Macaca mulatta: one gene and its partner. The protein of the gene in region 1 purifies or fractionates together with the protein of each later gene. This does not show direct contact. Links are inferred from orthologs where the notes say so. Each region holds a gene or a part of one and is shown in the gene's direction. Other genes may lie near its edges.

What was found. The genes of interacting proteins can lie anywhere in the genome.
Region 2: the proteins of PSMA5 (region 1) and PSMF1 purify together in Homo sapiens (co-immunoprecipitation; 3 studies listed by BioGRID and IntAct, with this or other methods). This does not show direct contact. The link is inferred for Macaca mulatta from reciprocal best matches to the Homo sapiens genes PSMA5 and PSMF1.

The regions. Positions count from the first base shown.
Region 1 is NC_133406.1:130,793,100-130,796,755, forward strand, and holds part of PSMA5 (proteasome subunit alpha type-5), read left to right. Parts: intron 1-487; coding exon 488-555; intron 556-1,461; coding exon 1,462-1,569; intron 1,570-1,710; coding exon 1,711-1,769; intron 1,770-2,829; coding exon 2,830-2,932; intron 2,933-3,656. UniProt on the Homo sapiens protein: Component of the 20S core proteasome complex involved in the proteolytic degradation of most intracellular proteins. This complex plays numerous essential roles within the cell by associating with different regulatory particles.
Region 2 is NC_133415.1:83,009,097-83,012,752, reverse strand, and holds part of PSMF1 (proteasome inhibitor PI31 subunit), read left to right. Parts: intron 1-441; coding exon 442-594; intron 595-2,377; coding exon 2,378-2,460; intron 2,461-3,656. UniProt on the Homo sapiens protein: Plays an important role in control of proteasome function. Inhibits the hydrolysis of protein and peptide substrates by the 20S proteasome. Also inhibits the activation of the proteasome by the proteasome regulatory proteins PA700 and PA28.

The DNA.
Region 1 (3,656 bases):
CTTGGGCCATCAGGCAAACTCTCTGATATAACTAGTTGTTTTGTGTTTGGGACAGAGAGGCAAAAGGCTTTTGATTTATTCGAGAGTCCTCCACTGTAGTCCATAGTGAGGTGATTTTCTTTTCTCTGTTTCCCAGGTTGGGACATTCGTGTTTGCTTAGTTTGAAAATGTATCATCATCTACAAAGAGTGCTAAAGGGATGTTTAGGGATGTAATATGTGGAAATTCATGTTTGTTTAGCTGCTTTTCTCTGGACTTATTTTTATCATCTGGACTTGTGTGTCATTGTGGATGGTTTTTTGTTTCTAACATCGTTAATACTTGGGTTCAGGGCAGATCATTTCCTATCTAAACTTTCGGGTATAAAATGCCATGGGATAGCTGAATGGCTGCCATGGTTCCACTCCAGAATTTCAGGATTTCCTGAGTGGATGAAAGAGTTCTACAAGGATTTGGCCACTGGGTCACTGTCGCTTTTACATTGCAGGTTGTGCCATGAGTGGGCTAATTGCTGATGCTAAGACTTTAATTGATAAAGCCAGAGTGGAGACACAGGTAAAATTGGCATTATCTCCCTTTTACCAGGATACTTGAGTTGCTTGTTTAGTGATTATGTAGCTGCCTGGGCTATACTGCAGGTGTCTGTGTCAATATTAGATGTGGCTCTTGGGAGTAATTTTGGGTAGAATTCCCAGTTAGAACTTTCTGGGGCTTGGAGTTTAGCTGTCTGATCACTGCAGTTTTAAAGAGGCTCTGGTCAGTAGTGCTGACAGTGTCTTCCTTTTTTTTTTTTGGCTTTGCCTTATATAAAGCATGCATTGTAATGCATTGTTTCCTAATTGACTTTCTGTGGGAGCATCACGGCAGGAGGTGGACATAGTTAAAGGATATTCTCACCTCAACTGCCTTTGTTGCCAGGCTTGCAAATAACAGCCCTCCTCTGGTGAGTAATAACTTGTACCAGCTGACAAATACTGATCAGGGATACTGTTTTTTTTGTTTTTTTTTAAACTTTGTAGCTGCTGCTTGGAGATAGGCTAGTAAGAAAAATATATCTCACGGTAAAATTTTTTGCACTTACTTGCAAGTTTGCTGTCTGTACTTATGTAAGAATAAGTCATTTAACTTAAACATCAACAGAATAAGCTAGAGTCTTTGAGGGAAAGAGGCACTTTTAGTTTTTGACAAGAGTAAACTTGGTGCTTTCAGGGCATATTCCTCTTTTTCAAGGCAAAAATTCTCTTGTCCGTCATTGCTTAGAGTCCTTGTGATAATGTTTATTTCCAGAGCTATTTCTCTTCCTCTCATGTACTCCCAAGTACTCAGGGTTAATGTTAATTAAGAAAACCACATTTGAGCCTTCAGTTTCCAATCCCAGTTTAAAGGAATGTGCGTAGTGAGATGGTGGGCTGCCTCAGTGTCCTTATTAGAAGGGTGTACCATGGTTTGCTCTTCTTCTAGAACCACTGGTTCACCTACAATGAGACAATGACAGTGGAGAGTGTGACCCAAGCTGTGTCCAATCTGGCTCTCCAGTTTGGAGAAGAAGATGCAGATCCAGGTGCCATGGTGAGTGTGATACTTGTGTCGAGTTTTTTTTATTGTTCTGTGGGACTTAGGACATTTGTCCTGTAAACATAACATTCCCAGCCCCTCTCACTCCTTACTTCATAGCCATTTATCTTAATATCTCTTGCCTTTTGGTTCTAGTCTCGTCCCTTTGGAGTAGCATTGTTATTTGGAGGAGTTGATGAGAAAGGACCTCAGCTGTAAGTACCATTTTGTAATTTTCCCCCATGCTTTTGTGGGGAGTTATTTTAATTTGGGGTGGGGACTGAGAAGATTATTGTAGACTATTAGCCAGGTATTAGCACACACCTGTAGTCCCAGCTACTTGAAGGCTGAGGCAGGAGGATCTCTTGAGCCCAGGAGTTGTCATCCAGGCCGTAGTGAGCTTATGATTATGTCACTGCACTCCAGCCTGGATAACAGAGTCAGACCCCATCTCTTTAAAAAATGTATTTAAAAAAGATTATTGTAAAAAGGGCTATTGTTAAGTGTGTGTGTATATATATATATGGCTTCTAATACTAAAGTTTAGTGATTCTATGCCGTTTGCCCAAATTTGGGGATTCCATGAAGAATTCCTCTATTGGAACCAGTGCTAATTCTGGAAGGAATTAGAAGTAACTTGTTACTATAGTCAGGGTATGTTTTAGAGCTTTGCTCTGGAATGTTGATCTGATCCTCATCCTCAGATATTTCTAAGATAGGCATAAACAAGTACCATATTTATACATACTATACTTCTGAATCCCTAAGGAAGCTGCTAATTTTCTTAAACACTTTCTAAAATGTCTGGTTTCTCCAGACATAGAACATCTTTTAGATCTGTGCCTCAATATATTTTTTTTTTTTTGAGACGGAGTCTCGCTGTGTCACCCAGGCTGGGGTGCAATCGCCGGATCTCAGCTCACTGCAAGCTCCGCCTCCTGGGTTTACAGCATTCTCCTGCCTCAGCCTCCTGAGTAGGTGGGACTACAGGGGCCCGCCACCTCGCCCGGCTAGTTTTTTGTATTTTTTAGTAGAGACGGGGTTTCACCGTGTTAGCCAGGATGGTCTCGATCTCCTGACCTCGTGATCCGCCCGTCTCGGCCTCCCAAAGTGCTGGGATTACGGGCTTGAGCCACTGCGCCCGGCTGCCTCAATGTTTCAGTGGTGTCTCCTGGCTCTAGGGCCAAGCATTTGTGCTTTGTTTTAGTGAGACGTTTGTTATGTAAAGTGCCACCACTCCTGAGCATTTTAGTCCTCATTTTGGGGGTTTTGCAGGTTTCATATGGATCCATCTGGGACCTTTGTACAGTGTGATGCTCGTGCAATTGGCTCTGCTTCAGAGGGTGCCCAAAGCTCCTTGCAAGAAGTTTACCACAAGGTAATTAAGTATTCTCACAACTCTTACTATTTTTTTAAATTCATGGTATAATTGACATATAATAAAATGTGCAAACCTTAAGAGTTCAGTTCTATGAGTTTTGACAATTGCAAAACAAGGTAACACTTTCATCACCGCCAAAAAAATGCTCATCCACATTCCAGTCAATCTCTTTCCCTCCTTTACAACCATGTTTACCACTGTCCATTAGTTTTGTCTGTTCTTATGCTTTGTTATAAATGGAATTAAACAATTAGTTTGTATCTGTTTTGTTTAACACTGATTTTGAGATCCATTCATGTTGTACCAGTATTTCCATTTGATGGCTGAGTAATATACCGTGGTATGGGTGTACCACAATATGTTTATCCTCTATCTCCACAGCTTTACTTAGCGTTTTACAATTGGTTCTTGAAGCAAGTGGGCATTTGGTATTTTCTTTGTGAGATGGGAAGATTTGGTTTTGGGTAACTCATTGGTGTGATTGAAGGCTGCTGTACTTATTCAGGTGGTTCATATGGGGAAGCCTGCTTACATTAGCTCCTAATAATATTGATTTTACATGTGGAGGAAATTAGGTACAAAACAGGGTAAATATGAATTTTCTAAATCATTAGGCTACCTCTTAGATCATTTGGGCATTGTTCATAGGATATTGCCAATAATATTATCTTCTAAATTAAAAGAGGAATTCAAATGTACACAAGATAAGTCTATCCCTTTC
Region 2 (3,656 bases), on another chromosome or scaffold:
CATCACTGCAGTCAGTTAGGGTGTATTAGGATCTGTGTTTTTAGTCAACACCTTGGTAATCTATTGTAGTTAGCCTAAGGTCCAAACTTTGAAAAACACTACTTAGAACTTCTCAGTGATCCTCAAGGTGACTGGCTTTATTCTTAGCAGAGGGATGGGGAAGAGATGATTATTAAACCAACACTGCAGATTCTTGACAGGTTCCAATGCGGTGTCAGAAAGGTAGCTCAATATGAGGGAGAGCACAGTAGAACAGAAGCCCAGAGACCTGGGCCCTAGACCTCTCTCTTGCTGTAGGATCTTGGGCAAGTCATTTCTCTTGACCTCCACATCTTCATCTGTGAAGTGAGGCGGGTAAGATTAGCTTATCTTGTGAGGTTCTTTATAATTCTGTGTTTTGAGGTCATGATCTTTCTCCTCTCAACTGTGGTGTCTTCCCAGCCGGGTCCCAATGATAAGAAGTCAGAACTGCTGCCAGCTGGGTGGAACAACAATAAGGACCTGTATGTCCTCCGGTATGAGTATAAGGATGGGTCCAGAAAGCTCCTTGTGAAAGCCATCACCGTGGAGAGCAGCATGATCCTCAATGTGCTGGTGAGTCTCTGAGACACGTAAGTCTGCTGATGAGATGAGGATGGGAATGGCTGTTTTGAAACCCATTTAACAGTCTGGATCCAGAGCTCCAATGTTCGTGTAGCCCTTACCCGGTGATCCCACTTCTGGAAATTTATCTTAAGGTGAGAACCCTAAGTATAAAAAATATTTGTACACAAAGATATTTACCACCTGGAATTAAGAAGGAGGGGCTTTCTGTCAACAGGGAAATGGTTAAATAAAGTAAATCTGTTCAGTGACAAGACAGAAGGAAAAAACTTAGGTAACTCCAGTGGGCTACTTCAGTTCCTTAAATAAATTGAATTCTTTGCTGCCTTGGAGCCCTTGCACTTTATATTTCCTATGCTGGAAGGCTCTTCCCCTCCCCCATCTGCCCCTCTCACAGCCCTCCACCATTCCTTCAGCCTGGACAATTCTCTTTCATGTTTGACTTCCTCAAAAAGTTCAGTGCTGACTACCCACTCCTACCATTCCTACTGCCAAAAAAATCTAAATTATGTCTCTCTACGCCATCATTTTATTTTCCTGCGTGACACTCATTGCAGCTTGTAATTGTGTAGTTATTTGTGCTTTGCTTTTATTCTGCCATGGGACTGTATGTGCCACAAGGACAGTGACTTTCTTTTTGTTAACTTTTGTCTTAGTGGTTTGTGTGTGACCATGTGGAAGTATCCTGCTCTATGTATTATACTGCACTTTGCCTTTTTTTCACTCGATGTTTTGGAGGTCTTGACATGGAAATACATGTAGATGTACCTTATTTGTTTTAACTGTTATGTAGTTTCTCATGGCACCATAATTTCTTTATTCCTTTCCCTTTTGGTGAACATTTAGATCTTGTGTCAGATAGGGTTCTTGGTTTCAAACAACAAAAACCTCTTGGGTTAGTTTAATCAAAAAGGGTTTATTAAAAGAACCAGGATCACCCAGGCGCAGTGGCTCACACTATAATCCCAACACTTTGGGAGGCTAAGGCAGGTGGATCACTTGAAGTCAGGAGTTTGAGACCAGCCTGGTCAATGTGGTGAAACCCTGTCTCTACTAGAAATATTTTTAAAAATTAGCCAGGCATGGTGGTGGGTGCCTGTAATCCCAGCTACTTGGGAGGCTGAGGTAGGAGAATCCCTTGAACCCAAGAGACAGAGTTTACTGTGAGCCGAGATTGCACCACTGAACTCCAGCCTGGGCGATAGAGCAAGCCTCTATCTCAAAACAAACAAAACAAAACGAAAAGAACCAGGATAGCTCATTGAAACAGGTTTAAGGCTAGGTTTCCAGAAGCAGTGTCCCAAATCATGCCCCGGAAACCGCTGCTGCCACCAACACTGCCCAGTATTAGGTACTGGCTGATTCTCTCTGCCCTGGTGCACCCTTCTGTTAAGCTGCTGATATGACCCCCTGGCCTCTGCTGCTACCCTCATTAACAAGATATCTGCCCCTTGCTGGGTCTGCCTCTTCATGTTGCTCACCTCCAACTCAAAGTTGATGCATCAGTTCAACACCTCAGTTACCATGCCTGAGCCCTTTTGCGAAAGAGCCTGGGAAGTAGGTGTTTTAGCCTCTGCCTTGGAAAGGCAGTATTCCTAAATCAAAGAAGTCTCTAAGCCTTAGGAAGGTATTTTATATAAACAGTCCTTATATATGTCTTTGTGGACATATGTGAATATTTCTTTAGGTTGAAGACTCTGTTACTCTCCCTCCACCCTCCCACGCTTAGCCTAGAAATATCCCAGTCTCTCACTTTCTATTTTCACTCATCTAGGAATATGGCTCACAGCAAGTGGCAGACTTGACCCTGAACTTGGATGATTATATCGATGCAGAACACCTGGGTGACTTCCACAGGTACTTCTAAATGATGTCTCTTCCCTGGAAAAGAGAGAACCAATGGCAAGATATAAGGAATAGGGTAGATGTCTCCAGAAAATTAAGGAAGGTGGATGGAAGAACCTTTTATTTCTGGGCACAACTTCCTAATTTTCTTTTCTGTTTTTTATGTATTTGAAGAGGAGACTCACATAGGAAATGCCACATGAGACAAGATGATGCAATCAGGAGTCCACAAGTGTTGTGGTGGCTGCAGAGTAGAGGTGGAGCCAGGCCAACTCATTCAGCCAGAGCAGACTCCTGGGAGAATGTGTACCCCATTGGGTCCCCAACCCCAATCTCCAACTTAAAAAAAAAATTATTTTCTTTAGGGTCGTTTTAGGTACAAGCAAAATTGAGCAGAAAGTGCAGAGCGTTCCCATATTACCTCCTGGTCCCATACACCCACAGCTTATAGCTTCCCTGTGTCAATATCCCATACATAGTGATACACTCCTTACAACTGATGAGTCTACATTGACACATCATTATTAGGGCTCAAGCCTGCTGTTGTGCAGTCTGTGGGTTTTGACAAATAGATGAGAATGTGTGTCTACCATTAGTATCACACAGAATAGTTTGACTACCCTAAAAATCTGTGCTCCTCCTATTCTTCACTCCCTTTTCACTAACTCCTGGCAACCACTGATCTTTTTACTGTCTCCATAGTTTTGCCTTTTCTAGAGTGTCATATAGTTGGTATCATACAGTAGTACATTCTAGGCCTTTTCAGCAGATAGAACTAGGAAAATTTTTCCTTATGAGTTTAAATTGCCACCTCTGTTTTTAATATAACACTACAGGATTCTTTTTCTCTTATTCCGTACTTATATGTCCCTTCTCCTGTGGTGAGAACCCTGATTCCCAACAGCATCAACATATTTACTTATTTACTTGATCCCAGAATACACACAAATATTTTCTGAATGACATCAGTGCCTACTAAGAACAAACCTACTAAGTAAAGTTCCAAATGATTTATTTTCAGTTCTTTTTGTCTTTTACCTATGTCCCACAAAAGATGTAGGCAGAGTAGTATCTTCCAAAGGTACTTAGATTAGTGCTTGTTTTTTAAATCAATATAATGAAGTTATCTGTTTTATAGATAGTTAAGCTGATTTATGTCTGCTTTATTCCATTATAGGGAATTTTCCACCATCTTCATTGACCACCGC